Linked DNA regions of Elephas maximus indicus. The protein of the gene in region 1 interacts with the protein of each later gene in a pairwise test. Links are inferred from orthologs where the notes say so. Each region holds a gene or a part of one and is shown on either strand. Other genes may lie near its edges. The genes, in order: MYL6B and SPA17.

What was found.
Region 2: the proteins of MYL6B (region 1) and SPA17 interact in binary tests that used the Homo sapiens proteins (3 or more experiments, as listed by UniProt). The two-hybrid records come from large-scale screens. The link is inferred for Elephas maximus indicus from reciprocal best matches to the Homo sapiens genes MYL6B and SPA17.

The regions. Positions count from the first base shown.
Region 1 is NC_064822.1:116,124,832-116,140,377, forward strand, and holds MYL6B (myosin light chain 6B), read left to right. Parts: upstream 1-9,579; 5' UTR 9,580-9,649; intron 9,650-10,852; exon of another isoform or gene 10,853-10,872; 5' UTR 10,873-10,918; coding exon 10,919-11,089; intron 11,090-11,829; coding exon 11,830-11,857; intron 11,858-12,079; coding exon 12,080-12,223; intron 12,224-12,455; coding exon 12,456-12,632; intron 12,633-13,138; coding exon 13,139-13,216; intron 13,217-13,372; coding exon 13,373-13,401; 3' UTR 13,402-13,410; intron 13,411-13,547; 3' UTR 13,548-13,652; downstream 13,653-15,546. Other genes in the region: MYL6 (myosin light polypeptide 6), read left to right, coding at 14,009-14,011, 14,268-14,295, 15,116-15,259, 15,491-15,546. UniProt on the Homo sapiens protein: Regulatory light chain of myosin. Does not bind calcium.
Region 2 is NC_064835.1:26,904,802-26,921,367, reverse strand, and holds the start of SPA17 (sperm surface protein Sp17), read right to left. Parts: upstream 8,538-16,566; 5' UTR 8,491-8,537; intron 6,977-8,490; 5' UTR 6,950-6,976; coding exon 6,796-6,949; intron 1-6,795. Other genes in the region: SIAE (sialate O-acetylesterase), read left to right, coding at 8,753-8,819, 12,904-13,065. UniProt on the Homo sapiens protein: Sperm surface zona pellucida binding protein. Helps to bind spermatozoa to the zona pellucida with high affinity. Might function in binding zona pellucida and carbohydrates.

The DNA.
Region 1 (15,546 bases):
CATACCATTAAGTATGGTCTTTTTATGAGAATTTGGGGTCTGTATCTCATTGGTCTCCTGCTCCCTCAGGAGTTGTCTGTTGTGCTCCCTGACAGGGCAGACATCGATTGTGGCCGGGCACCAACTAGTTCTTCTGGTCTCAGGATAATGTAGGTCTCTGGTTCATGTGGCCCTTTCTGTCTCTTGGGTTCTTAGTTGTCGTGTGACCTTGGTGTTCTTCTTTTGCCTTTGCTTCAGGTGGGTTGAGACCAATTGATGCATCTTAGATGGCCGCTTGTTAGCATTTAAGACCCCAGATGCCACATTTCAAAGTGGGATGCAGAATGTTTTCATAATAGAATTGTTTTGCCCATTGACTTAGAAGTCCCCTCAAACCATGTTCCCCAGACCCCAGCCCCTGCTCCGCTGACCTTTGAAGCTTTCATTTTATCCCGGAAACCTCTTTGCTTTTAGTCCAGTCCAATTAGACTGACCTTCCTTGTATTGAGTGTTGTCTTTCCCTTCACCCAAAGCAGTTCTTATCTACTAATTGATCAATAAAAAACCCTCTCCCTCCCTCCCTCCCTCCCCGCTTTGTAACCACAAAAGTACGTGTTCTTCTCCATTTTTTCTATTTCTCAAGATCTTATAATAGTGGTCTTATACAATATTTGTCCTTTTGCCTCTGACTCCTTTGTACCTTTCTTATATTTGATCATATGTTATAGTTGCTCTACTTGCCTGATTGCCCTACTCGTTACTTGGTTTTTAGTTCCTTAGGGCAGTCTTACCTGTGTATTTTCAGTAGAATCTACTGAGCTCACTGCTTCATGAATATTATCTGAAGTCCAGCCTAAGATTGTTGTTGTTGCTGGTGTTAAGTGCTGTCAAGAACAAAACACTGCCTGGTCCCGCACCATCCTCACAATCATTGTTATGCTTGAGTCCATTGTTGCAGCCACTGTGTTAGTCTATCTCACTGAGGGTCTTCGTCTCTTTCCCTGATCCTCTACTTTATCAAGCATGATGTCCTTCTCCAGGGACTGGTCTCTCCTGATAACATGTCCAAATATGTGAGATGTATTCGTGCCATCCTTGCCTCCAAGGAGCATTCTGGCTATACTTCTAAGATAGATTTATTTGGTGTTCTGGCAGTCCACGGTATATTCAATATTCTCCGCCAACACCGTAATTCAAAGGCGTCAATCCTTCTTTGGTCTTCATTATTTATGGTCCAGCAAAGCCCAAGATTAGAAAAGAAAATTGACAGGTGGTGGGACTGCTGCTGGAGAGAGGTTTACTGACAACAATATACACCAGTAAGAAATGACAGTTGGTAGATAGTCTGACAGCGAGGAAAAAGGCAGGAAAATCTGTAACAACATAGGCAAAATTTTTTGTCCATCAGTTAGCAAGATTTTTTTATTATTAAAATAGTATCTAGGTTTGGAGAGAGTATGAGAAACACATTTTCACGTAATGCTGGTGAAAGTGTACAAAATTCATATAATCTCACAGTGCAGTGAATTGCTTTAAAACACAAAGCTCACTCTGGCCTCCTCTGAAATCTGGCTTACCTCCCAAGAGACCTCTTTCACATGTAGCACCCTCCAGGGGAGACTGCTCCTCTCCTAAACCCCATATATTTCAGACTGGAAGGTGAGGTCTGCATTGTCCTTGCTCCTCAATGCTGCTTCCCCACTATTATTCTTCCACCTTCAGGAAAAGTCTCAGCTCCTTTGGAGATGATACCAATTTGATATCCTGTCCCTGCCTTCTCTCCTGTCATCCACTAAATACTTTTGGTCATGCCTCAATTTTTACTAAAGGCTCTGGTACCCTAAATCCTGCTATCATTCTGGTGTCTTCAGTGTATACTGTGGTAGCCCATTCAATAACTAGCATCATAGTTTCTCATTGTAGTGGACATTGCTGGTTTCTTTCCTAGCATTCTTTCTACCTCTCCCCAACTGGACTGAACCATCCCACCCTCAGTGACAGGAATGGGCCCCGACTGGCCTGAGTGAATCGGAGTAACAACATCCTCCTTGCATAATAACTTATGCCTAAGCCAATTGTTGTTGTTAGGTGCCATCAAGTTGGTTTTGACTTAAAGCGACCCTGTATACAACAGAATGAAACACTGCCCGGTCCCCCACCATCCTCAAAATCATTGCTGTGCTTGAGCCCACTGGTACAGCCACTGTGTCAATCCATCTCGTTGAGGGTCTTGCTCTTTTTTGCTGACCCTCTACTTTACCAAGAATGATGTCCTTATCTAGGGACTGGTCCCTTCTGATAACATCTCCAAAGTATGTGAGACATAGTCTCACCATTCTTGCTTCTAAGAAGCATTCTGGTTGCACTTTTTCCAAGACAGATTTGTTTGTTCTTTTGGCAGTCCATTGTATATTCAATATTCTTTGCCAACACCACAATTCAAAGATATTAATTCTTCTTTTGGTCTTCCTTATTTATTGCCCAGCGTTCGCATGCATATGAGGCAATTGAAAACACCACAGCTTGGGTCAGGCGCACCTTAGTCCTTAAGGTGACATCCTTACTTTTTAATACCTTAAAGAGATCTCTTGCAGCTGATTTGCCCAATGCAATACGTCTTCTGATTCCTTGACTGCTGCTTCCATGGGTGTTGATTGTGGATCCAAGTAAAATTTTCCCTGGACAGAATGATTTGTTCAAGTGTGGATAACCATATCACCTAAGTTGATCCAGTCAGAGTGAAGTCCAGGAATTGATTCCAATGGTCAAGGAAAGCTCCCTCTCTTCCTCTTGTGGTGTGAGGATATGATACCTGGAACTGTAGCCGCCAAGCCATGTCTGGCTACAGGAAGGGTGCCAAGGAAGAAGATAACACATGAAGGAGGGCAATAGCAAGAGAATTACAGAGAAAGGGTCCCTTTGTTATATCATGAACCTCTGGATCAAACTGAACTTAAAGCCCACTCTACCTCTTGTCTTTAACTACATAAGCCCATAAATCCCCTTTATCAAATTTTATTGTTTAGCCAGTTTTAATCAGATTTTTGATATCTGCAGTTGAAAGAATACTTAAGGACTTTCCCCACAAATCCAAAGATCTCCATCTCCACCTCCACTACCCTTTAAACTATCCACTCCCATGGCCACTCATCCTAGATGCTGTCTTCCTCTGTATTCTTTGAAATTTTAAAATCTCAAATGCACTATTTTTTCCCACTACAACTCTGAGATTTCCAACTGTATCACTTTTTCAACCTCAGTAAGAATTCAGCCCCTTAATGACTTCCCATATTCTCTCAATCCAATAGCCCCTCCTCTATATTCACTCCTCTTTTTGGCCTGGACCACAGCCCCCCTTTTACCCAGGCTCTCAGTTACCTCACTCTTGACTTAGGCATTAAAATTGGAGCCACTATTCCTTGTCCTTGAGTATAAAGAATATGACTCAGCTGGAGCTGGAGCTGGACTCGCAAGGACACATCATCTGGGCCCTGAAGTATAAAGACAATAGCTTGGACAATCTTGGAAAACACCTTTTAGGGAAACTTTCACATAAACAAAAGATCAGCATACTTTCCACTCTTTTTCTACCAGCATTTAGTAAATAGCAAGATTTGTTGGACCAATGAAGACCCTCCTGACTGTCCTTACTGATATTTGTAACAATGATTATTAAGAAAGACAATTCAAAATGTAGAATCATGGTCATTTACCAGTTTTTAGCCAGTCAGTAAAAAGGTAAAGCTTTTAATGATTTTACTCATTTGTAATGCCAATATATACTGACAATCTTGTAACATTCCTAGGACTCTGACAGACATGGCTCTGGCAGCATGCTTGTCCCTTATTCACTTTTGCCTCTTGGAGTATATGCCAAATAAAATTTTCCTTCTTGCTTTACTATAACTTCATGGTGATTTTACCCTAAACACTCTGGTGTTCATCCATCATCCCTATTGCACAAAACTCCAACCCAGCATCATTCTAGCTGTCTCTTTCCTCTGGCTCCACCATCCAAGCAGCTGAGAAATGCTAAAAGGAGAAAGAAATCAATGCCTTATAGATTGTGCTGTTACAAATTCATGACCACCTTCTGTGCTGCTCACCAAGTTCATGTGCTGAGCTCAGAGCAGGCACTCAGAAAACATTTGTGAAATGAGTACTTGTCAGTTGTCTCCTATCTTTTCACAGCACCTATTTCAAATCTTCACTGCTTTCTCCAGCTATCTCCTCTTACTTCCTCTCTTAGCAAATCAGATCACCTCACCTTCTACTTCAGGGTGCAAATAAGAGTCCAATCAATACATGGGGACTCTCTCAATCCCTTGAATCCCCAACATATTTCCCTGTCAACTTCCTAGTATCAGTGCTCACCCTTGACTCTTCCCTTTCGCCCAGATATCCATTCATTCTACAAATATTTAAGTGTCTCCTAAATGCCAGGCACTGTGCTCTGCTTGGCCCTGAGAATACAGTGGGGGTAGGGAGGGTATAAAAGACAGCAACAGCCTGAGCAGAGAGGACACAGGACACCGCTGAGGATCTGAAAGCTGGTAGGTGTGGCTGCTATAAAGGAAGCAAAGCAAGCAGTGTTTGAAATTGTGGTCATTTTTTTGACCACTGTAAAGATTTAATCCTTATCAAAAGGCACGGAAGGATTTTAAGTAGGGAATGACATGACCAGATGCATATTTTGAAAAGATCATTTCATTTATTAAAGCTGGTGGTTACCTGTTTGGTACATTATTCTCTTGTTTTGTAGTGGACAAAAAATACTTCAAACAGATTCCCAGGCCCTAACAAAGACCTGGAGTCAGATCTGTGGGGGAAGTATCTGGAAGTCTATCTGCTTACAAAGCTCCCAGGAGACTGTGGAGAACACTTAAGTCTGAGAACCACTGTTTCAGAACATTACCAAAATGAAACTACACTACTTACCACAACATTTATTATTCTGTTTATATCTTGCACGTAGTATGAATCTATAAAAATGGGGCTTGGACTTTATAAGCTACCCATGTATCATAAAACATCCTCATTATCTTCCTCTTTCTCTCCACTATGGGTTACCATGGAGCCCTGATAGCACAGTGGTTAAAAGCTTGGCTGCTAACCAAAAGGTCAGCAGTTCAAATCCACCAGCTGCTCCTTGGAAACCCTATGGGGCATTTTTCTCTGTCCTATAGACTTGCTATGAGTCTGAATCAACTTGATGGCAATGGGTTTTGTTTTATGGGCTACTTTTTTTTTTTAATTAATTTTTATTGTGCTTTTTTTAAGTGAAAGTTTACAAATCAAGTTAGTCTCTCATACAAAAATTTATGTACACCTTGCTAAACACCCCTAATTGCTCTCCCCTAATGAGACAGCAGCACACTCCCTCCCTCCACTCTCTCTCCTCGTGTCCATTCGGGCAGCTTTTGGCCCCCTCTGCCCTCTCATCTCCCCTCCAGACAGGAGATGCCAACACAATCTCATGTATCTACTTGATCCAAGAAGCCCGTTCTTCACCAGTAATGTTTTCCATCCCATATTCCAGTCTAATCCCTGTCTGAAGAGCTGGCCCCAGGAATGGTTCCTGTCTTGGGCTAACAAAAGGTCTGGGGACCATGACCTAAGTGATCCTTCTAGTCCCGGTCTGACCATTAAGCCTGGTCTTTTTAGGAGAATTTGAGGTCTGCATCCCACTGCTCTCCTGCTCCCTCAGGGGTTCTCCGTTATGTTGCCTGTCAGGGCGGTCATCGGTTGTGGCTGGGCACCATCTAGTTCTTCTGGTCTCAGGCTGATATAGTCTCTGGTTTATGTGGTCCTTTCTTTCTCTTAGGCTCATAGTTACTTTGTGTTTTTGGTGTTCTTTATTCTTTCTTGCTCCAGGTGGGTTAAGACCAATTGATGCATCTTAGATGAATGCTTTCTAGTGTTTAAGACCCCAGACACCACTCTCCAAAGTGGGATGCAGAATGTTTTCTTAATAGATTTTATTATGCCAATTGACTTAGATGTTCTCTGAAACCATGGTCCCCAAACCCCCGCCCCTGCTTCGCTGGACTTGGAAGGATTCAGTTTATTCAGGAAACTGCTTTGCTTTTGGTTTAGTCTAGTTGTATTGGCCTCTCCTGTATTGTGTTGTCTTTCCCTTCACCTAAAATAAAACTTATCTACTGTCTAATTAGTGATAACCCCTCTCCCTTCCTCCCTCCCTCCCCCACCCAACCATCAAAGAATATATTCTTCTGTTTAAACTATTTCTTCAGCTCGTATAATAGTGGTTTTATACAATATTTGTCCTTTTGCAATTGGCTAATTTCACTCAGCATGTCTTCCAGACTTCTCCATGTCGTGTAATGTTTCATGGATTCATCATTGTTCTTTATCGATTGGGCTACTTTTTGTTCAAAATGCCAAAGTGGACTGAAGACACTTTTCCCAACAAATTCTTTCCTATTTATTTCGGAAACAGTATCCTCTCTACCTAAACTATTATCCGTATTAACACATTAGCTAGTGTTTAAAGAGCCAATTAAGCTGTCTAGGGTGAACCCACAATTATTCAAGTTATTGAAGGGTTAAAAAAAAAAAAAGTTGCTGCATTTAATTCCAAAAGTTGTTCTACTAGGTTTTTAATGTTTCATTTTTCTTTTTCCTTTAGAGATGTGCCCCTTCTAATTTATTTTATGTTGTAGATTAATATTAGAATAAATATGCAATCCCTGAAAAGCCACAAGTCATGCTAGGTGGGGAGAAAGAACTGGTATTTGTCATGGAGAATCCACATACAAGATGTATAAATCACCTATCCCCAGTTAAGACTGTGTTCAGTCCAGTTCTTGTTTATGATTGAAAGACAGGGATGGCACAGAAAATGAAGAATAGTCCTTCAAACTGTTTTTGCCAAGCATTTTCTCTTTTCTTCTCACATTACTTCTCTATAAAGCAGACAAAAAAGAAATGCTAAAAAGTCAGCTGATGTCAAAATCGCTCATACTTAGCAAACTGTCAAAAGTGGACTCTAGCTAGGGGAGAAGAGAAGGAGAAAAATAAATCAGATAAACCACATCTTAGAAACAAATTTTCTGGAAGGGATGACAGGTACAAAAAGGCATCTGTAGTATGGCCCTTCCCCCAAGAATCTTGTAACCAAACCCGTCAGAGAAATGTACTCTTCTCCATCTTTCACACCTACTGATCCTTTGTCAATGTAAAATAAGGAAAATACTACCTACCTCCTATATTGGGAAAAATGAAATGACATTAATTTTACTTAACGAACACTTATATAGCACTTACTCTGTGCCAGGCCCATTCTATTTTACAAATATTAATACATCTAATCCTCCCAACAGCCCTATGAGGTAGATAATGATTATTATTTTACATATGGGGAAACTGAGGCACAGAGTGATAACAAACTTGCCAGAGGTTATCAGCAAGCATGTGGCAGAACCAGGATTCAAATGTGAGCAAGGTGGTCTGAGCCCATACACTTTAGCACCCCTTATGCTGTCTCTCTGAGATAATTTAGCCTCTTCATGCAGTACCTCATAGGTGGAGGCATTGAGGAATGACAGCTATTATCATCATTATCCTCATCACCGTTATTATTTTTCATTTCTCCTATATAATCCATTTCTACTCTTCCAGGAAGCTTTCTCCAACCAGTGAACTTCACTGCCCATAACGTTCATTTGTGCCTTGCCACCCCAACTTTGCGTGGGCTTTTTACCCTGATTCTCCGTGCACTCTTATGTAGCCCAGGCCTCCAGATAAACCACATCTTAGAAATGAACTTTTCTGGAAGGGATGACAGATACAAAAAGGCATCTGTGGTATGGCCCTTCCCCCAAGAGTCTTGTAACCAAACACTTAAGTGAAATGTTCTCCTCTCCATTTCTACACACCTACTGATCCTTCGTGGATGTAAAGTGAGGAAAATACTACTTACCTCCTATGTTGGGCAAAACTAATGGACGTTAATAAAGGAGTGCCTTCAGGGCATTTATTGACCCAGCAAGTAAAGGTGGGCCCTGGCCAGGCTGGTTCTCTCCCTCACCCAGCACAGAGGAGACCCATGATGAATGTCTGAGGAAATAAACTCCAATGCTGGGCAGAGGTGTCTAAAAGTGAGGGGCTGGAGGTTCCTGCCCTCTGTTCCATGGAGGCCTCTAGAGACCAGGCAGGTAGCGTAGGCAGCCACAGGGTGGAGAAGTCTCCACGTATAGAGACTGGACAACCTCTGGGGCAGCTGGCTGGGCTTTATTCCAAATCTGAACATCTACTTCAGCAGCCAGCTCATTTAAAAAAGAGAAATCATAGAATTTTGTGAGTAACTGCTTCAAGTCACCCAGCAACTCAATGGCCTGTTTTCTTTCCACCAAACCAGAGAGGAAGCTGAAGAGATCACAGCCACTCTCCCTGCCGCAGTGCTTCCTGATATTTGACCTCCATCCTGCCTGCTGCAGCTTCAGCACCGCCCCCCACCCCACCCCACCCTTCTGGATTTTGTCACCAATGGACCCAGAAAGTGCTTCAAGACTTCTTCACCTTTAGCAAAGCAAGGTCGTGTCATCTCCATATCACAGGTTGTTAATCAGTCTTCCTCCAATCCTAGTATCATCTGGTTTCTCAGATTATTTGCTCAGCATACAGATTGAATAAACATGGTAAAAGGATACAACCCTGATGCACACCTTTCCTGATTTTACACCATGAAGCTCCCCCTTACTATGTTACTTTTACTGCCTCTTGGTCTACGTAGTACAGGTTCCGCATGAGCACAATTAAGTGTTCTGGAATTCCCATGCAATGTTATCCATAATTTGTTATGATCCACACAGTCAGATGCGTTTGCGTAGTCAATAAAACACAGGTAAACATCTTTCTGGTATTCTCTGCTTTCAGCCAAGATCCATCTGACATCAGCAATGCTATCCTTCCTTCCATGTCCTCTTCTGAACTGGCTTGAAGTTCCCTGTCAATGTACTGCTGCAACTGTTTTTGAATTTTCAGCAAAATTTTACCTGTGTGTAATATTGACACTGTCTGATAATTTCCGCATTTCTTAGAAGCCAGGATGGCAAGACTTGTCTCACTTACTTTGGACATGCTGTCAGGAAGGAGCAATCCCTGGAAAAGACATCACGCTTGATAAAGTCATCGAAAAAGAGGAAGACCCTCAACAAGATGGACTGACACAGTGGCTTCAACCATGGGTTTAAACGTAGTTATGATTTTAAAGGTGGTGCAAGACCGGGCAGTGTTTCATTCTGTAGTACGCTGCGTCGCTTTAAGTCTGAACCGACTGCACTGCACCTAACAATAATAGACTCAGAAAAGATCTCGGCCCACATTAAATGGAAACTCACCAGGGCTAAGTAAGGGGGATATCCTAAGGGGCCCCACAGGGTTTTAGGGTCGGGGTGGGGGTTTTAAATTGCTCCTTGCCTTTCAGTTCCGGGACAAAAAGCGCGCTCAACAAACCCGACTTACGAACCACCGCCACAGCCGGAAGCCACCGCTTTAGCTTCCTCCTGGAGTCGGAGAGCATTTCCCGAGAGCCCGCGTCCGCTCGGGGACTACAGCTCCCGGCGTGCTCCGAGGCCGCCGGAATTAACCCTTCAGGGGCCGAAGCTGCATAGCGCCCCGCCCCCTCCCCTTACAGAGATCCCGCAGGGTGAGTTTTCGGGGGCTGGTTCGGGATTCTTAACTTAAGGCGCGATCTCTCTGTGCATGGTGCATATGTGTGTATGTGTGTATGTATATCTGTTTCGGGTGTACTCCCTGAGGAGAATGATTCCTGATTTTCTTATGGGACAATCTGCGGTTATGAGATTCAGACGCAGTTGTGAGATTCAGACGCATTTTTGCGAGTAGGAGACTGACCCCCAGTATCAACACTCTGAACCCTAGGCTCTAAGTGGAATCACTGCTATCTTTCCCAGAATGCTACCTAAATCCTCCCCTTCTTTACCCCCCAGAACAAAAAAAGTCTGCACCTCTCCCCTAATGGCCTTTCCTAGCGCCCCCAGCAAGACTTGAGACCTGGCGCTCGAGTCAGGGTTTTTATTACCCCCTTCTTTGGGGGTGAGTACTCATGGAGCCCATAGGATTTCTGATTAGAGAATTTAGGCTCTTTGCCTCCCCTTCAGATGCCACCCACGGTCCCTGCAGGTTTGGTAAGCACCCCATCCTTTGTCTGATGTGAATGACCATGGGCTTGAGAATGGGTGGTGGGTGTTAAACCTGACCTATTTCCCGACCCCTGGAACTACACCGCACAGGAGACAGTGGGGGAGGGGTGCCACTCTCCCCTTCCGTTGCTATTCTTTTTCTATATTGTGCACAGTCCAGTTCTGGGCTGGGCAGGTGGCCAGGAACTACAGTTGCTGAGGATTAGGTTGTGGGGTCAACTACCCTTGCTCCTCACCCATGGTCAGAGGAGGTGGAAGTGTTGCCTGTTTTTCACCTTTCGCTGCCCCCAGACCCAACTTTAATAAGGCCCCCTCCCTGCTTCAGCCTTCAAGAGTCTAAAGCTGCTAGAAAAAAGGGCTACCCTGAGTCAGGGGGCTGGAACGCGTGGATCTCCTTCTTTGCCTCACCTCTATCTCAATGGCACTGGCAAGCATCCTATCCTCACCCCGGACGTTAACTCCCCCATCATGAGCAGTCTCTGGCTTCCTCAGCCTGCCCCCAATGGGGACATTATTCCAGCCAGCATTTGGGAAGGGGTGGGCAGAGGGGGAAGACCTTGGGGCAGGAGGAGTCCTGAACCACAGGAAGCCAGGGGAGCAAGGGCAGACAGGCGTTTCTCCTCTACCTCACCCTCCACACTGCCAACTGGCTCCCTGCCCCTGCCCCCGCCCCTTGACATCCTAGCCTCCCTGGCTATTTAAACAGAGATGGGTGCCCCCATCGGCATACTGTCCTTTGGCTACCGGACATCATGCCTCCCAAGAAGGATGTTCCCGTGAAGAAACCAGCAGGGCCTTCTCCCCCAAAGCCTGCTGCCAAGCCAGCATCAGAGGCCCCTCCAGCCAAGGCCAAGGCTGAGCCAGCTGCCTCCCCGGCCCCTGAAAAACCCCAGGAGCCCCCCATCGATCTCTCCAAAGTGGTGGTGAGTACCCAGAAAGTGAGGGTAGAATTTGAAGAGGGTGGCACAAGGGTGGGATACAGCCTAGGGGCTTAGAAGGTGTCTAGAAGGTAGAGAATTGATGAGCACTGGGATGAGTTTGGCAGTTCCCCTTAGTTCCCTGTTTGGAAGCATCCAGGCGTAGGACTCTGCTGTTGTCTGTGCTGTTTTTCCCTCTAACATATAACATGTGTGTGTACAAACACACACACCTGTGCGCACATACACACACCTGCTGACTCTCCTGCTGGAGTCAGGAACTGTGAGATGGGGAACATCTGGGTCTGAGGATGGTTTTTTCAAGGTGAAGGGAAGGAGATGCTGCCTGCCCCTGGCTGGCTGTTCAACCCAAAAGCCAAAGCTCAACCCCAGGAGGGGAGGCTGAAGAGGACAGGCTTGTTAGACAATCACAGCTGGGGGCCAGGGGTAAATTTAGCCTTTGTTCAGCCCCCAGTTATGTGAAGGATGCAGGGCTCAGGGCAGTGGAGGGAGGGGAACAGGTGGCATGGGATTAACCCTGTTCCCAGGAAACCCTCCCCCCTATAATTCCTCCTCTTGGGATTCTCCCAAGGCCCAGAGCTGGGAATGGGACTGAGGTGGCTGGGCTCCCGGACTGGTCCCTTTGGGCCCCTCCTTAGAAGTGGCTGCCAGTTGGTTGGGAGGAGTGCTGGAGAGGGATTTAGTAACCTCTGTCATTCCTCCTCACCTGCTCTTTTCTTCCACAGATCGAGTTTAACAAGGACCAGCTGGAGGGTGAGGAGAAGCTGGTCCCCTAAGCCCACTACCCAGTCCCAAGCCCCTATTTGGATCCTCTTTCTCTTTCCCCAACTCCAGTCCTGACCTTGAAGCCCCTCACACTAGTTCTCTTTGTGTCCCTTTTTTCTGCCCAGTGCTAACCCATAGTTTCTGATCCTCCCTTCTGCCTGGGAATGGTGGGAACCCCTGGTCGACATTAACTCTTCCCTATAACCTCAGAGTTCAAGGAGGCCTTCGAGCTGTTTGACCGAGTTGGTGATGGTAAGATCCTGTACAGCCAGTGTGGGGACGTGATAAGGGCCCTGGGCCACAACCCCACCAACGCCGAGGTGCTCAGGATCCTGGGAAACCCCAAAAGTGATGGTGAGGGGACCCTTGGAACAATGTGGGCTTTCAGTTTGGTGGTGGGACCCAGGAATGTTGGTAGGACACAAAGGATGCTCAGATGCGTCTCAAGGCTACAAAAACCATCAAACACAGGGGCAGAAAAACATCCTGGGATGTTGAACAGAATGGAAACCTTTGTGGTAGGGATGGGAGCTGGGTCCTGGATGACACCACAGTGACCTCTCCCTCACCTCTTTCTAACCTCCAGAGCTGAAGTCCCGGCGTGTAGACTTTGAGACTTTCCTGCCCATGCTCCAGACAGCGGCCAAGAAACGGGACCAAGGCTCTTCTTACCAGGACTATTTGGAGGGGCTTCGGGTGTTGGACAAGGAGGGGAATGGCAAAGTCATGGGAGCAGAGCTCAGACAGGTCCTCACCACCCTGGGTAAGGCAGGGGCCAGAATTCCTGTGGGGTAGAGAGGAAGAAGTTTGGCCAGGTTGGCAGAGCCAGGGAGGGGGTTACTGTCCTTCAGGTCACCTGCTGGAGACTAGAAGGTAGAGCAGAGCAGAAATCTGAAGGACTTCCTCCTGCAGAGGCTCAAGTGAGAGGGGACACAAAGGGCAGAGGAAAGGGGACGAGAGGGTAAACATGAGTTTCCATTTTGGTAGAGATGCTTGTGCTCTATGATCTGTACAAGTCTCTTAGCCCGCTGCAATTCAGTTTCCCCATATGTCAAAGCTTTCACCAATACCAAGAGGCTTCGTTAATGAGGTGAAATGGAAAGCAAGATGCAGTAACACAGGCAAGGCATAACCATTACACGGAGAGGATTCCCTTGGGGGATCAGTTGCGTTGACTAAGTCTCCCAGGTTGAAGAAGAGGCGGTACCACCTAGAAGAGTAAGGCCTGGTTGGTGAGGGCGGGGCTAAAACGCTATGTCTGGGGTTCAGGAGAGAAGCTGACTGAAGAGGAGGTGGAGGCTATTCTGGCAGGACACGAGGACATCAATGGCTGCATCAACTATGAGGGTGAGGGGTCAGAGTCCCAGAAGGGACAAGGGGGAAGGGAGCGGGCCTCTTGCCATGTATGTGGGTGGGTGGGGTACGCTGGGACCTGGATTATCTAAGGTCAGTTGGAGTATCTAAGGGCCTGTTTCTGAAGCCCCTCTTGCTCCCTCTCTGCAGCCTTCCTGAAGCACATCCTAAGCGTCTGAGCGCTACAGGTAGGGGGCACCCTCCATCCTTGAGAGGCGAGTCTACTTCCCTTTCCTCAGCCACAGCCCAACAGCAGGGGACTGCATTTTCCTGTCCTGTTTCTGCACGAGTGCCAGGGCCTGGCAACTTTCATCTTTTTCCACAGATCCCGTGGGGCCGGACACTGCCCCCCGCCCCGCCTCCGCAGGCGGAAGCACGTTCCGGCCACTAGGAGGCCACCTATTGTTTTAAAATAAAGAAACGGTTCCTCCCTCGGCCTGACTGTTGTTTTCTTCAGAGGTAGGGGCGGGAAGGAAATGAGGGCTCTCTCTCTTCTCTCCAAATCTGATTCCCTCTGCTTTTTCGCTGCTCGGAAGAGCAGATCCGTTGTGACCCACCCAACTCCTGCGGTTCCTGAGTCCCAGGTGGGTCGACTCTGGGGGAAGGTTCAGCCGCGGGTCCCGCCCACCTTATTGCTAATGTAGCAATGTCCTTGCGTAAACCCAGGCCGGGTTCCTATTGGCTGGGGGCTCTGAGGATGACGTCAGGGGACGTACTAAGACTAGGGTTGGGCCTGGAGTCGGAGCCATTACTGCAGGAAAAGGTCCCGAAACCTGAGCGGCCAAGATGGTGGGACACAGGGCCTGGGAGAATGAGCGGGATTTGGGGCGAAAGGCGGGAAGCCCGGGTAGAGGGCGAGGGAGGGAGGGCAGGAAGTAGGGGGCAAAGGGAACCAGAGGGCCTGGACGGTAGGAGGGGGGTCGGAGAGTGGGATCCTGCTAGGAAGCGCGTCCTCAGCGAGGAACAGGAGTTTGTGCTGGTTTGTGGGATAGAAGCTGGGGGATTGGAGTTCAGATGCTGACCGCTCCCCCCCTTCTCTGAGCAGTGTGACTTCACTGAGGACCAGACCGCAGGTAAGCAATCTCTGGCCCTTATTGAGGTCACCTTTAAGGAGAGGGACACCCCTCCAACACCTGCCTTCTAACCCCCGACATGTCATCTCTTCAGCACCCCCCAGGACAGTATTCCTGGCTCCCCTTCTCGATCCTCCATTTTCTTTTCTCACTCTTTCTTCCTCCTTCCCCTTCCACTCTAGATCTGAGCCCCAAGCACTGGGTGAGTTTTAGGTGGTGTGGGTATGTGAAACGCTTGCCTGCTGTGTGTGGGGTTTGGGGTGTATTGAGCTGCCTGCGCTCCTTTAATCGGCTACTTCTGCCTCTTCTCTCTTCCTGTGGTAACTCCCCCTCTGCCCCAGCTGGGAATTGTGATGGTGGTAAAGAGCAGTGACCTGCTACTTCGTGGAGATGAGGGGGAGTTTGCTAAGGATCCAACTTTGTCTACCATTTCTGTACAGGAAGGGTGGGAAGTGGCAGGCTGGGATGACCCCAGTCCCAGGCTGCTGCTTCCACTTCCTTATAAGGACAGGACCCAGATGGGGCGGTGGCACATTCCTGCCCTGAACAGCGTAGTGGTGAGGAGGTTGGGCTGGGCGCCACTGGCAGAGGGATGTGTAAATGGATGCTACTACCACTGCCAACCGGGAGGAAGGCTGTATCTATGTGGGACACCTTAGTTGGGGGAGAGGGAAACTGGATCCCTCTTAGCAGGGTGTACAGTGGTACAGATATCTGGTTTCATCACAAAGATGTAAGTTGAATGTGTACAGTGTAACTTGGAGGTAGGGTTTGGGTTAACCCCTTCATCCCCAGTGCTGATATTCATCTGAATCCTCAGAGTTTAAGGAGGCCTTCCAGCTGTTTGACCGAACGGGTGATGGCAAGATCCTGTACAGCCAGTGTGGGGACGTGATGAGGGCCCTGGGCCAGAACCCCACCAACGCCGAGGTGCTCAAGGTCCTGGGGAACCCCAAAAGTGATGGTGAGAGCCCTTTAGAACTCAGTGTGGTGGTGGACTCACCGTTCTTCAGCTAAGTGCTTCCCTTTATCATCATAGGCCCCCAAACTGAAGCAAGTCTTGTCTCAACTAGCAGATCTCATGGGTCTCCCTTGCTTTGAGGGGGAGCTGTTGGTTCACCTGTAGTCTCAGTTCTGAGAACTCACGTGACTTCTCGGGCCTGACACTGCACCCCTTCTACCCACTTTACGGCAGAGATGAATGTGAAGGTGCTGGATTTTGAGCACTTCCTGCCCATGCTGCAGACTGTG
Region 2 (16,566 bases), on another chromosome or scaffold:
CACACGTGTGTGTGAGAGAGATTTATATCAAGGAAATGGCTCATGCGGTTGTAGGGACTGGAAAGTCCCAGGTTCATTGGTCAGGCTGGGGGCTTCTCCTGACTCACGTACCAGGAAATATATTAATTTGCTTAATCAGTGAAACCACATCTGGCACAGGAGCTGCAATTGGAGTCACCACCTGGTTAGGTTTTTGATAATCCACTGTCATTCTCCAAGATCCATCTGTTTTTTGCACAGGCCAAATAGAATGTGGTGGGAATCACCATCCCTGCATCCTTTAAGTCCTTGATGGTGGCAGTAATCTCTGCAATCCCCCCAGGGTTGCAGTATTGCTTTTAGTTTAGTATTTTCTTTGGTAGGGGCAGTTCTAATGGCTTCCACTTGATTTTTCCTACCATAATAGCCCTTACTCCACTTGTCAGAGACCTAGTGTGGGGGTTCTTCCAATTGCCGAATATACCCATTCCAATTATGCATTCTGGAACTGGGGAAATCACTACAGGATGAGTTCAGGGACTGTCTTAGTTATCTAGTGCTGTTATAACAGAAATACCACAAGTGGATGGCTTTAACAAACAGAGGTTTATGCTGTCACAATTTAGGAGACTAGAAGTCCAAATTCAGGGTGCCAGCTCCAGGGGAAGGCTTTCTCTGTCTGTCAGCTCTGAGGGAAGATCTTTGTCATCAATCTTCCTCTGGTCTGGGAGCTTCTGACTGCAGGGACCTTGGGTCCAAAGGATGCATGTGCTCTTGGTTCTTCTTGCTTGGTGGTAATGAAGTCCGTCTCCGCTCGGTTCTCTCTCCTTTTACCTCTTGTAAGATATAAGGTGATACAGCCTACACCCCAGGGAAATTGCCCTCACACTGGATCAGGGTTGTGACCTGAGTAAAGGGTTTTACTTTCCACCCTAAGCCTCTTTAACATAACCTAATCTTGACTCATTAACCATAGACAGAGATTAGGATTTATAGCACATAGGAAAATTACACCAGATCAGAAAATGGTGGACGAGCACACAATATTGGTAATCATGGCTTAGCCAAGTAGACACACATTTTTGGGAGACACAATTCAATCCATAACGGGGACCCACCAGACCCACCGTGAGCCGAACCTGAGCTAAGACTCCATTAATAACCTGACCTCCATATGCCCCCAACTCTGACTGGTGAACCACAGTGAAGTTTTGGGTCTCCTGGAATTAGCGTCAGTTCAGATTATCCAGTGATCCCCAAAAAGTCTGATTATTTCCTTTCCCCAATTAACAGTCACTGCTGGTGGCACAGTGATTAAGAGCTCAGGCTGTTAACCAAAAGGTTGGCAGTTCGAATCCACTGGCTGCTCCTTGGAAACCCTATGGGGCAGTTTGGAGAAAGATTAACAGTATAAATTTTTGGCAGTGTAGTAGGGTCCTTCCTCAAGGGGACTCAGCCTCCCCTTCATTCAGGGGGTTGTGGGTCTGTAAACTGGCTCAAGTCTGGGAATTGATTGAGGGGTGGTGACTATTATGACAATTCAAGTTAGACCGCTGTTCACTTGACCTAGAATTTTTCCGCTTATACAGATGAAGTAAATATTTAGTAGATATTCAATCTATTTCCTTCTTCTGCAGTATACCAAGGCAGGTCTTGTACTTCAACTTGATTTAATGCAGGCCACCTGTTATCCATGCTTCACTGAACCAACCAAATAAACAATTAGATCCTTTCTGAACCTCTGAATGAAGAATCTGTGCTTAGTGGGCGCATATCAATAAACTCAGATTGATCCAACTTTATGTTTCTTGCACCATTATCCCATACCCTAATAGCCATTCTTACACATATTCCCCAGGTTTCTGTTTGTACATATTAGAGAACTCAGGAAATTCTTTTGGAGTGTAGCATATCTCCTCCTGTGTCAACTTGGCTAGGCTATGATTCTTAGTGGTTTGGCAGACATTGGACTGATTGCTAAGCAAATTAACCATCACATTAACCTATTGTGATATAAACTGCCAATATTTTTTTTTCTCACTTTGTCATTTTATTTTCCTTATGGTGATTTTTGTCATGTAAAAGTTTACTTTTATGTTATCAGTTTTATCAATCTTTTTCCTAATTGCTTCTGGAACTTTGAATCTTAGCTAGCAAAGATTCTTCTTAAGTTATAGAGAAATTTACCTACATTTTCTCCTAGTATTTGCATGGTTTCATTTTTTAATATTTAAATCTGAGATCAACTTGGAATTTATCCTGTTGTATAGGGTAGCTATGAGTCGGAATTGACTCCGTGGCAATGGGTTTGGTTTTTTGTTTCGTTATATGGTTTCTTTGTTATCTAGTGCTGCTATAACAAAATGCCACAAGTGGATGGCTTTAACAAAGAGAGATTTATTCTCTCAGTCTGTTGTTGTTATGTGCCGTCAAGTCAGTTCTGACTCATAGCAACCCTATAGGACAGAATAGAACTAGATAGAGTAGGGTTTCCAAAGAGTAGCTGGTGGATTTGAACTGCCAGCTTTTTGGTTAGCAGCTGAGCTCTTAATCATTGTGCCACCAGGGCTCTTTCTCACAGTCTTGAAGGCTAGAAGTCTGAATTCAGGGCACCAACTCCCAGAGAATGCTTTCTCTCTGGCAGCTCTGGGGGAAGGTCCTTGTCTTCAATCTTCCCCTGGTCTAGAAGCTTCTCATCTCAGGGACCCTGGGTCCAAAGGATATGCTCATTCCTGGCTCTTCTTTTTTGGTGATAGGAGGTACCTCTCCTCTCTGCTCAATTCTCTCTTGTATATCTCAACAGAAATAGACTCAAGATACAACTAATTCTGTAGACTGAATTCTGCCTCATTAACATCATAGAGGTTAGGGTTTACAACACGTAGGAAAATTATGTCAGATCACATAATGGAAGACAACCACACAATACTGGGAATCATGGCATAGCCAAGTTGACACACATTTTTTGGGGACACAATTCAATCCACAATTTTCTACCCTTTGGCCTCCTAAAATTCATGTCCTTGTCACATGTAAAACAAATTCACTCCATCATATTATCCTAGAAGTCTTATGTCAACTCCAAGTGCAAATTCCATCCTGGGGCAAAATTCCTGTTCATCTGTGATATTTAGAATACAAGTTATCTGCTTGCAAAGTAAAAATGGTGGAACAGGCACAGACCTTTTAGGCAATGGTCCTGCCCTCCAGACTCTGTGTGTTGGTCACACTCTCCAGATTCTGGGTGGAAGCCCTTTAGCCTTGGGCTTCAGCTCTGCCTTCCAGGCCCACTGGGGTGGCAACTCTGCTCCCTCACGTTTGGGCAGCCCCATTCTTCTAGTCCATCTGAGTGGTGACTCCACCCCCTTGTCCTGCAGACCCCATTCTTCTGCCCCTTGGGCATGGCAGCTCTGCCTTCTTGGCTTTGGGCAGCAGACCTGGCCCATGCCTGTGGCACTCATGAAAGTAGCCCCACACTCTGGAATCAAGTTGGTGAAGATCTTACTCTTTGAAAGCTAGCAGGCTGTGGGCCCACCCTTTGAAACCCCAAAGGCCATGGCTCTACCCTTGGAAACCCAAGAGGTTGTGGCCCTACCGTTTGAGACTGAGGCAGCTCTGCTTCCTGTGTTCCTTGTCTCTTCAGCATCTGCTTCATGGTTCCTTGGCCTCTTGTCCCTTCAGGCCTCACCACTCGTGTCTGTCCTACTGGGACAAATGTTCCAAAGCTCTGTAGCTCCACTGAAAAACGCCTGGAGGAACCCCACTCTGCTAGTACACTTCGGCCAGAAGGCACTCAGCATTCTTGCTCTGTGGTTTGACAAGTTTACTTCCACTGTTAAGTGCCTGAAGACACCCCACTGTGGCACGGAGCCTCCTGCACAAAGACACTCAGCTCTCTTGCTCTCTGGGTAGGCTCCCGTGATGTCTTGTGCTGGTCTTCTGGTTCTGCTGCTGCTATTTCTCTGCTGCTGCTTCTCACTGTCTTCACCATCTTCAGTGTTACAGCTCTCCTCACTTCTTCAGACTCCTCACCAGAGTTGTCTTTGATGACCATAATTCCACCAACAGTCTCTTCAAAGCAAACCAGGCTTTTACTATTAGTCACTTTAAAACTCTTCAAGCCTCTAACCATTCACAGTTTCAAAACTGCTTCCACAGTGTAGGTATCTGTTAGAGCAGCACCCCACTCTTGGTACCAAATTATGTCTTAGTTATCTAGTGCTGCTATACTAGAAATACCACAAATGGATGGCTTTAACAAACAGATTTATTCTCCCATAATCTAAGAGGCTAGAAGTCCAAATTCAGGGTGCCAGCTCCCAGAAAATGCTTTCTCTGTCAGTTCTGGGGGAAGATCCTTGTCATCAATCTTCCTCTGGTCTAGAAACTTCTCAGCACATGGACTCTGGGTCCAAAGGATGTGCTCACTTCTGACTCTTCTTTCTTAGTGGTAGGAGGTCCCCCTCCTCTCTTCTCAGTTCTCTTATATCTTAAAAAAAAAGGTTGATTCAGGATATAGCCTAATTCTGTGGATTGAATCCTGCCTCATTAACATAACTGCTCCTAATCCTGTCTCATTAACATCATAGAGGTTAGGATTTACAACACATAAGGAAATGACATCAGATCACATAATGGAGGACAACCACACTATACTGGGAATCATGGCCTAGCCAAGTGACACATTTTTGCAGGGCACAATTCAATCCGTAATACATGGTGTAAGGAGTTCCTGGGTAGTGCAAATGGTTACCCATTGGGTGGAAGGTTAAGCAAATGGTTAAGCGCTGGTCTACTAACTGAAAGGTTAGCTATTCAAACCCACCCTTAGATGCCTGAGAAGTAAGGCCTGGTGATATGCTTCCTTTCAGGGTCACAGCCTTGAAAACCCCATGGTGTGCAGTTCTACTCTGCACACATGGGGTTTCTGTGAGTTGGAATTGACTTCATGGCAACAACATGGTTTAAGGACTTGATCCAATTTATCTTTTTCTATTTTTATCCCAACATCATTTGTTAAAAAGTCCATTATTCCCTACTGATTTGACCTACTACTTATACTGTATACCAACACGTTTCCTGCCCCCCAAATCAGAGTTAAGCCTGGTCATCACTTATGAGGAATGCTGGCATGAGAATTCTTGTATTGTGTGGGAGATTGGGTTACAGGACCTTAATGATTTTTGTTCCCTTTTTGTAGAGATTAAATTCTGACGCTTTGTATTAGTTGGATAATTCCTGTCTGGTTGACATGGTGGAAATGGGTGTGGTACTTAAATTTTTTTCAAATAGTTTTACCCATTGTTTATTAGCTAGTATCCTGGGCCGTTAATCTGAATCACCAATTGCTTTAATCACCGTGATCCGGTAATAATGACTCGAATGTTTTTGTAATGGGATGTTTCTGAGTTCTAAAATTAAATACATGACTAATAACTTTTTATTGCATTAATTATAAAATTAATGTTATAATAACAAAATTAAATTAATGCTCATTACGATTTACCTCTTACCCCTAAAAATTTCTCCTAATGACTTCCCCCGATCAGAAAAAAGATAATTTATCAAAGTGTTTGCAGTGGCAGGCATTTAAGCTTCAAACTGTGCAATAAATATCCACACTGACTGAATATGGAAAAGACCAGCAACGTTCAGGAAACTGGCAGTGATTCTGAGCCCTGCTAGCAGAATGCAAAGGCTAGAGGTTAGAGCTGTGCAGTGTGTATGGGAGTTGTTTGAATTCAAGCCTCAAGCTAAGTTTCCTCCCTCTGTATAATGATTTTAAATGGAATGTTTATTTGCTCGTGGATATGTCTAGTCACCTTTACCACTCTGTTGGAACACTATCGTGAAAAGTAATGATGATGACAGGTTTTTCTTGACTAGAAGAGATGATAACATAAAGATTGTTCTAATCAAGAATAGGTTTTTTTGTATAAACTTATGGCCATAATAATTCCCATCCCGACACTGGGTCAGGTCCTGATAACCATGAACCTTCAAGGCAGGTGATTTAGAAATTTTATTTATGAACGTGAAGGAACTTTGTTTTTTCTCTTTCAACCAAAGAGTCACTTTAGCATGTATCTTAGACTCTGGGCAGGATGGGACCTTGAGAGTATAAAGGAAGAGTGTAAATTACCTTCCGATACTATGAAGTTCACTCAAAGCAGCTTGCCTTGAAAGCAGTTTGTCTGTGCACCTTTACTGTAGAACAGTTTCATACACCCCCAATGAATACCAATGTATCTTAATCTAAAGAGTGTAGAATTATTTTTTGCAAATCAACCTTTAAAGAAAACTGCAAACTCTCCTCCTAGGAAAGATAGACAGCCAACTGTCTGGGTGATGTAGGGAACAAACAAACAAACAAAAAAAAAACCAAACCCGGTGCCGTTGAGTCGATTCTGACTCATAGCGACCCTATAGGCCAGAGTAGAACTGCCCCATAGAGTTTCCAAGGAGCGCCTGGTGGATTCGAACTGCTGACCCTTTGGTTAGCAGCTGTAGCACTTAACCACTACGCCACCAGTCTGCTAAAAAATGGATGACTACGATCTTTTGCGGTCCCCTTCCACCCAGTATGTCCACGAGAAATATAGTGAAAAAGGTCTGGGTAATAAACTAGTAACCTTCCATAATGTGAAACCTATTTAAGACAACTTGTCAAAAAGGCACATGCTGTTTCAAATTCTGTTATTTGAAGTCAACTGCCTCAAAAAGATTTTCTGTGGAATGGGGATGGTCTTAATTACACCATAACCAAATGCTTAGTCTCTTATTGGAAAAAAAGATGCCTATTTTTAAAAAGCTTACTCTCTCTTTTCTCTAGAAGGTTCTCAAAATATGCTGCTGCAAAAGCTGGTATATTGTCCGGTTGCTCCCTCAGAATCTCGCGTGTCAGCCCTTCAAGAAGATTCCCAAATCCTTGTGGAATTCGGTAGTGGGTGTTGGAGAATGGAATCGACATCTCCTTGGAAGGAACTGCCTATCGTACCTAGAGATTCATTAAAGAGCACTGTCTTTAAATATGTATGATTTTATTTATGTAATCACAACTATGACAACAATTATTTCTGAGACCCAAATTTTGTAGACTTCAATTCTTTTTTTCCAACACGAGTTCATACATGTATTTTAAAAAGTTTTGACTTCTCCATTATTAATTAAAAACCTAAAAATCTATTGCCATTGAGTCGATTCCAACTCATAGTGACCCTATAGGACAGAGTAGAACTGCCCCCATAGAGTTTCCAAGGAGCGCCTGGTGGATTCAAACTGCCGACCTTTTGGTTAGCAGCTGTAGCTCTTAACCACTAGGCCACCAGGGTTTCCAAAATCCAACTCATGGTGACCCCATAGGATAGAGTAGAACTGCCTCATAGGGTTTTCAAGGAGCACCTGATGGATTTGAACTGCCAACCTTTTGGTTAGCAGCCATCCTCTTAACCAGTACACCACCGGGGTTTCCATTATTAATTAGAACATTACAAATACAGGCCCATTTATTAGGCTGAATACTTCTTTAGAAAATTAGGACAATCACAAATTTTTTCACTATAACGGTAAATATTTTTTCTCTCCATCCCTTTGTCTTTTGGTTCTTAGGAGGAGATGGTAATTTTTGCTATCTTACAGGAATTTAGAGAGAATCATGATTAAAAACCTAGCTTTGCTGAATTCATTATAAGTTGCTGAGAAGACCCTGTTTAGGAAATTAGGCAGGTGGTTATATCTACAACAAACAAACGAAACAAAAAACATTTTTAAAAAGTTGGAACTAGTCCTGGTTCTAGAAATTCCCCCAATTTGTTGAATGAAGACGTTTCACACTTAATCTTTTCTTTAGCTTCCATTCATGAAGCCTGACTTCTAAACAGCTGTTTACTCCAAAGTGGAGCAGTAGGCAAGGTCATGATTTTGAAAGCCTAGTTTCCAAAAAACCCTGGGGCAGTTCTACTCTGTCCTCTAGGGTTGCTATGAGTCCTAATCGACTCAAGGGCACTGGGCTTTTTTTTTGGTCTCCAAAGTTTTCAGGGCCTTTTATTTTTTGGGTTTGTCTTGACCAGGCCTTCTCTCCCTGTCTTGGAATATACGGGCTAGATTAAGGGTAATTGCCAAGCAGCCGGTTAGGCTACTATGAAAAGAACATGTAGGGATCTGGTCTGTTCATGAGATTGTCAATGCGGAATGAAAGCGGAGGCCGGATCCATGGAGTGTTTTTTCTTTCTTTTTTTTTGAGGGGCAGGAGATGAGGCATTGAATCAGTCTAGGACTGTGAAAAGAAGGGCTGGTCAGACCTGGGGAGTGTAGGGCGGACGGAAGGGAAGACCTGGTCTTGCCGGGGGCTGGATGTGGACGACCTGGGATTGCGGACTTGGGCAGAATAGGCTGCCTTGGCTAATCTGCACCAGTATTCCTGGCGTATGTCGGGGATCCTGAGAGAACACGAGACACGAAAGGAAAAGGCGAGGTCCTGGTTTTGGAGAGGAAGTGGGGAAGCCGCCTCACCTCTTCTTTCTCTCTGAGCTGGTGCCGATGGTTCCGGTTGTTTTTTCTCGTTGCTGGGTAACCGTTTTTTTCTTTTTCAACTACGGCGGCCGAGAGGGTGAGAGGCACCGCCTCGCCCTGAGGCCGCGGGCAGCTTCGCGGATTCAAGGGCACGCGAGGGGTGGAGTCACCTCCTCCACCCTGCTCCGCTCCGGCCCCGCCCCCACGGGCCGCGCCCCTAGCTAGCCCCCACTTCCGGAGTCCCGCGCGCTGGTGATACATCATGGTCGCACCAGGATTGGTGTTTGGGCTAATGATGCCTTTAATCTTGTGGGTCAGCAGAAGTGCAGGTGAGGCTTCCCGGCCGAACCCCTGCCCCTCAGCCTGCGCCGGCCCCGAGATCCAGCGTCCTCTGCAGGACCCCTACCGGTGCCCCCCTTCTCGGGATCGGGAAAGGAACCCGGGCCAGGAGCTGGGATCTCAGACCCAGACTTAGGGTCGGTGCTTCGGCCCTAACGCTTCCTGCACCATTGTGGGATGCCTTCTTTCTGACAGAGTGTGTCGAGGGCAGAGGGAGAATTGGGTTTGTCTGAGTGCGGAAGCTCAAATATACCCAGACTGAGGCCCTCAGGGTCTTTGAGCAGCTGCAGGGGAGCTGGGTGGGGAGGGGGTGCAGCTAGTTAGCTAGTTAGAAGCTAGTTAGATATTATTGGGAAACAGGTGACTGAGTTATCCAGACATTTCAGTGCTGCCCGCACAGTTGTGCCTTGGGGAGGTTTGCTTAAGGCTGGGTTCCTTGGGGGAATTAAATTTTACTAGTTTAAGTAGTGATTAGGGCTAAGAAACAACCCTCTCACTGGCTCAGAATATTTAAGGCTCTGCTGTGATTTCTGGTGCAGTTACAGATATCGGTGGTGGAATAATATGCGTGACTTTGGAGAGGAGGGTGACTGGCGTTGGGCTATTGTTTAGGTCAGATCCTGTCATTTGAATACATACCCCTGTCCTCACAATAGGCAGGCTGGGCAAGTGGGTTACATGCATGGAGAAACCAGAAGAGGGAATCTGTCTGCTAGCGTACAGTAATAATGATGGACCTATTTTTTTTTTTTTCAAAACCACCGCAAGAGTGGATCCCAAAGAAATGAAAGTTGAGCTGGGAGAATGGATTGCAGAAAAATGACTGCTGCTCTACCTAGAAACCCCCAGAAATACCCCAATTCAGACAGACTGAAGCTCAGTATGTGTTTTTTTCAGGGAGTGCAGACTAGCAACACTGCAGTGTTCGTTCCCTGATGCTTATCTCCCTGTGCCGTGACCTTTGGGGTCCATTATATGAGGTAGGGAGAAGATGAAAAGAGTAGGGACATATTTTATTAGTTTTTCTGTTAAAGGTTGTTAACATCAGTGTTTAATCTCTTTTGGGTCATATTGTTACATCATCTTCATTAACGTTGGCTGTATTTCTCATTCATTAATGCCTTATTTGGTTGCATCTACTGACATCTTTCCTTCAGTTGTTTTCCCTGCTCCCATTTTTATCACATAATATTTGATACATACAAAAGTATGTGTGACAATAAAACAACAAAATGAACATACCACCCAACTTAGGCACTAGGACATTGCCAGCATTATTGAGGCTCCCTGTATGTTCCCCTGCAAGCCTACCCACCAGCTCCTCACCAGAGGTAAGCACTGTCCTAATTGCGTAAGCCCACTTTTAATGATGATCTCTTTCGCCACAACACTAATCCTGTTTTTCTTCTCCAATCCCCAAATGAAAAAATCCGAGACCTAAAAAAAAAATTCAAATGTTAAACGTGTCTTGTGTTTGACAAAAGCAATTACTAGGTCTGCCCCCACTTTCCAGTCTTCTGTTTCTGTTCATTGCTCAATTCCTTGGTAATGTTCCACTGTATACAGTTGCTAGCTTGGAATTTGAGCTTTACAAGGACAGGGAGTATGACTTTTGTTTGATTTACCATCAATAGCTGGCAGAGTGGGAATCAGGTGGCTTGGTTTCTAGCTCTATCACTAACTGCCTATGTGATTTTAGACCAGTCGAATAAGTTTAATGTCTGTAAAACTGGTTCAGTGGTAGAATTCTCACCTTCCATGCAGGAGACCTGGGTTCAATGCCTGGTCAATGCACCTCCTGTGCAGCTACCGGCTGGAGGCTTACGTGTTGCTCTGATGCTGAATCGGTTTCAGTAGAGCTTCCAGATGAAGATGGACTAGGAAGAAAGGCCTGACAATCTACTCCTGAAAGTCAGTGAATGAAAAGCCTATGGATCACAACAACAATAATGTGTCTAGCACTGTATCTGCTACTTGTGAGCTTCTCAGTAGAATGTAAGATTCCTGCCGGCAAGGATTTTTGTCTTTTTTTTTTCATTCCCCCATCCTTTCTCATTGTTAAATCTCCAGTGCTTAAAATCATGTGTGGCATAAAGTCCGCATCAGTAAATATTTGTTGAATTAATTAACGAATGTGATAAAACCAAAACCAAACTTGTTGCCGTCAAGTGGATTCCGACTCGTAGAGACCCCATAGGACAAAGCAGAACTGCCCCACAGGGTTTCCAAGGAGTGGCTGGTAGATTCGAACTGCCGACTTTTTTGGTTAGCAGCCGACCTCTTAAGATATGATAGCTATTTTTAAAAAAAATGCTTAAGGTTCTTGGGTTTCAGTCTCTTGATCAGTAGGTAATGAAGATTATACCCTAGAGGGTGAAAGATCTGTGGCATCTCTAATATCCTTTATGCTAGAATGGAGGAATGCATAAAGAGGTTCAGGATGTGTCTGTTGGCTGTAACAGTGACTTGGAGAGGCGTTTCCCCCAGACTGTGGACCGCTGGCTGCACACGGCTAGAGCCCTTCCTTTGCGTGGACTCTAGGCTCATACAACTGCTAGCCAGTTTTCCTCACTCCTTTCCACCACTCTCACCCTACTTAGCCCTTATGCCTTTGGCTTTCGTTTTTTGTTCCATAGCACCTACCCAAGACGAGGCCCTCCCACACATGTGCCTCTCTGTTTCCCCCAGCACGCTGCCAACGCGCTTATGCAATCCTGTGTGTTGTAGTCTCTTCTTGGAGAGATTTGCTCGTGGTAGCTGTGCATCTCTAGCCCCGTAGGTCTTCTGGGTGATCTTTGATTGTCATGTAGGTTTCATTATGGAACTAGTTCATAAGAGAGAGCTGAAGATTTTTAGGGACTGGGCTGATATTCAAAGAGCAGGATAAATAGGCCACTGACTGAGTATGTGTAGGAGACTTCATTAGCTGTCTGCCTTGTTAAGTATAGCCTACGGGGCCGTCATCATTTGTAGCTTTCAGGGAGGAAAATGTCAACCTTGTTAATATGCTCTTTCCTGTCTGTTATTTTTATTTAAAACTCATTTAAAAAATATTCATTTTGTTAATTATTTTCTACTAAGGATTTTGTCTTCTTTTGTTCAGATATACGGGGATGTAATAGAAGGAACTTTATTTTTTTCCTTATTAAATTTTGATGAGGAACTCACTGAGATAATTTGGATCAGTGCTTGTTAATAATAAAATAATTCAGTATAGGCTAGATGTTAAAAATAGGAACGGTCTTATTAAAGCGAATTTTTATGCAGTCTTGCTAGTGAATCTCTAGAATAGAACCCACAGTGCTTCCTCTTGCTCTTTTTGTATAATTTTGCTTGTAAAACGGGCAAAGTTGGGACGAACAATCTTTGGTTGGGTTTTTTTGACTTATCTCTTTCTGACCTTATTTTTGTGTCTTGGTTCATCAGAATTTACCTTAGAGGGAAGCATACTTGTCACATTTGTAAGTGCTTATTTACAATTTTTAGTGCAGTACACTGGATTGTCAAAAAACCAGAACAAGGGGAATTATATGAGGGAAATTAACACTGGTAGGTTGGAGAGGGGGAGATAAAAAGTGGGAAAAGAAAGATCAGAGGTTGTATTGGAGAGAGGCATGCTTCTTTAGCCCCAGCCATTAGGAGTGGGAGTGGGAGTGGGAATGGAAAGTCAGGGAAGGAAGTGCTTTATTTTTCTTATAAACACCATCTGTGGCATGCGTAAAAGGAGCATTTTAGTGATTTGGGGGGAGAGAGCCAAGTATTTAGGGCCAAGCCTGAGAGGAAAGGAAGATCAAGAGCTCTGAAGGGAAGGGGGTTTGTGGTGCATGGGTTACCCTACATTCTTTGAGTTTTCATTATTGGTCATCTTGTACCATGATGCATATTGTTGGAACCTGTTCTTGTTATGTTGCTTCCCTAATTAGGAGGAATAAGATCTAGTTTTAGATGATTAAAAGGACTGAGTATATCCAGATTCTCTTGTATAAAGACTCTCTGCTCATTGCAGTTTCACCCAAATCAGTTGGTGATGAATTTCCTGATGACGCCCTTCTAAGTGTTTGCTACATTTTTTAGGTGTTGATTTTCGCTTTGCTTCATACATCGATAATTACATGGTACTGCAGAAGGAGCCTTCTGGGGCAGTGATCTGGGGCTATGGCATACCCGGAGCCACAGTGTCAGTGACTGTGTGCCAAGTCCACGAGACTATCATGAAGAAAGTGACCAGTGTGAAAGGTAAGGCAGCCTGGCCCCTGTTTAGCTATTGTCTTTGTCTGCCACCTACTGGATCATCAGAAAAATGAATGCTTATGCTTTGAGTGTTTACCATGTGATAGGCACTGAGGGTGGAGTCTCTGGATGGTGCAAACAGGTTAATACCCTCACTGTTAACTGAAAGGTTGAAGGCCTGAATCCACCTGGGGGTGCCTCAGAAGAAAGGCCTGGTGATCTACTGCTTCAGCCTTTGAAAACCTGGACAGTTCTACTTTGATACACATAAGGGCGCCGTGAGTTGGAATTGACTTGATGGCAACTGGTTAGGCACTGAAACAGAAAAATAAGACTAAGTCAGAGTCCCTGTCCTCACGCAGCTCATGGAATAGTGGTAGTAGGTGGACATTGGTGGTGCAATGGTAAAAGAGCTTGGCTGCTAACCAAAAGGTCGGCATTTAGAATCCACCGGTTGCTCCTTGGAAACTCTGTGGGGCAGTTGTACTCTATTCTCTAGGGTTGCTATGAGTCGTAATGGACTCTGTGGCAACGGGTTTGTTTTTTTATTTTTTGTTTTGGTTTATGACATATAGTGCAGTGTGATAAAAGCTATGATGAAAGTGTGTATAGGTTGTCATGGGATACCGAAGAAAACATCTAACTCGGATTGGGTGGTCATGAAAGGTTTTCACAGACGGTAACATTTGAGTGGAATCATTTATAAATAAGAGGCAATATGTAGAAGTGGTTGAACCTAGGCTATGGAGTTCATTGGATTGAGGTCCTGACTCTGTCACTCAGTGGCCATGTAACCTTGAAGATGTTATTTAATCTCTCTGTGCCATGGTTTGTTTGTAAAGTGGAAGTAATGATAATAGAATTATTGTGAGGATTAAATGAATTAACATATGTAAAGTACTCATAACAGTGCCTGGCACATGATAAGTATGGAATAAATATTGGCTGCTGTTATTACTGTTTAATCAGTCACTCAAATATTATATTGAGTGTTTACTATGCCATGTACTATGCTAGGTACAGGCAATACAATGATGAACAAAGAAGATATAATTTCTCCCCAGTGAAGCTCATGTGTTAGGGGAGGACATAGAAAAATAATAAGCAACAATAAGCAAAATGATAGGTGCCGCTATGGAGAAGTACAGGGTGCTCTGGGAGCACTTAGTGGGGATAATTAACTTAATCTAAGGCTTATCTTAAAAGATGAGTGGGGGAAGCAGATAGAGAGAATAGACTGGGCAAAGATAGGGAGGCATGAGCAAGCATGGGTCATTGGAGAAATGGCAAACAGGTTGGTTTGTTGGAACACAGGGCTGTGCGACTGGTGGTGGATGACAGATGATGTTGGAAAGGTAGGGAGACTTGTTTGTCCTTGCTAAGGAGTGTATCCTTTGTTCTGGATTGATGGATTTTAAGCAGCAAAGCAGTAAAATAGCACAATCAGATTTGTATTTAAAAAGATCGCTCTGGTAGCAGAACTCTGGATTGGAGACTGGTAAATCTAGAAGTGGACAGACTGATTGGCAGGCTGTTAAGCTATCAAGGTACAGGTTACGAGGACTTGACCCAAGATGGTGGCTGTGAGGATGTTCAAGAAAGAATGAGCAGCCTTGATGAGCAGGGAGGTTCTACAGAAGGATCTCTGTCTAGGGGAGACAAAGACGTTTGAGTTAGTGTATGGAGGAGGCAAAGCTAGATGTTACTGGTGCAGGAAAGCATGCTGGGGCTGGGTCAGGTGGAGACCAGATGCATCTACATAGCTGCAGCATCCTGAGGTGAGGGTGAGACAGGTGAGGAGGCTACTCTGGGAGGTGGTAGAGTTAGTGTTGGAATTCAAGGTTTGAGCAATGACTTGACTATACATATGTGATGGGGAATCTTGTGGAAATTTTGCTGGCCTCTGAAAACAAGGATTGCCTAGTTAGTTCAGTTGGTACACAGTACTGATATCCAACCCAAACCAAAACAAAACAAAAAACCCAAACCCATTGCCATCGAGTCAATTCCGACTCATAGTGACCCTATAGGATAGAGTAGAACTGCCTCATAGGGTTTCCAAGGAGCGCCTGGTGGATTTGAACTGCCAAGCTCTTGGTTAGCAGCTGAGCTCTTAACCACTGTGTCACCAGGGCTTCAATAAGTATCTAGGAGGCAGAAACTACAAATTACTGTAGAGGATGATATGGAAAATACATAAATTTATATAACATTTAATTAAAAAAAATGTTCGTTTGCATTGTTTTTAGTCTTCCTCTCCCCTCCGCTCTACCTCACTCCTATGGCTGTTCCAGGGCTACCGTTCGGGGTGGGCAGAGATGGGGCAGGAGGGTAAGTGGTGACGAGCAGAAATAAAAGGTAATAATTAAGGGATGAGCCTCCCTTTTCCTTTACAGTGATTGTGACTCTGCTCACTGATTTTGAGTTCAAGCCTATAAACATTTATTGAAGGCTTCTAATGTATAAAATCACAGAGCTAGAAACCCTGGGAAATACAAAGGACACAGATAATGCCAGTCCTTGCACATTTACCAGTTCAGGTTCAAGTAATACCCTGATTGCTTCATTGCAAAGTCATGGGTGATTTGAAGTAACCAGTAGTAGCTTGAGGGAATTAGGTGATTCGTGGACAGTTGATGGTAATTTCACAGGAAAAGGGGTTGGCGGGGTAGTTCTGTGTGTCAGGCTTTCCATGTTGGCGTGGTAGAGAAGAAAGACATTCTACAAACCTGCTTCAGTGAGTGTCTTGCTCTGTCCCACCTATCCCACCTGTGAAACAAAATGGATGACGGATTATTTGGAATAAAGGATGTAGACATGTAGGGAATTTCACAGGGTAGAAAAGAATGCCTCTCAAAGGAGACACTACAGGGGATGCTGAAGGGTTGATTTTTCCTTTGGATTTTGATGAGGACTCTGGGATTTTCGGCCAGACTACCTCAATTTGCCACCCTTTCTCCCTCTGTTAATATTTAATTTATTGCCTATAATCCCCTAGGTGCCCAGAACAAAGGGGGACTTATAGAGACTTTTGCCCAGCAGACTGACATTTGAGACATGGAAAAGTTAAAAGCCCAGGAATGAATGGGAATATGGGCAGGTATGGGTTCTGTTCAAACTGTGTTGCTAAGTGATGCATGATGGCCCTCTCAGACATAAGGGATAAAGTTGGGAGAATAGGATAGGTAATATATGTGGCAGTATGTGCCTGTAGGTAATAATATAAGGTATGTCTGTCTATGTTTGTCGTTATGCTTGATGTAAGTAGATAAAATTTCTCCAATTTAGAAAAATATAAAAAGCCTAAGAGTCCTTCTACCCCCCTTATTAGAGTGATGGCATGTATATTAGTTTTCTATGCTGTGTAACAAATTACCACAAACTTAGTGGCTTAAAACAACACCCATTTACTATCTCACAGTTCTCTAGGTCTGAAGTCTGGTGAAGGTTTAGGTGGGCTCTCTGCTCAGGGTATCACAGGGTTGGAATCAAGGTGTTGGGCAGGCT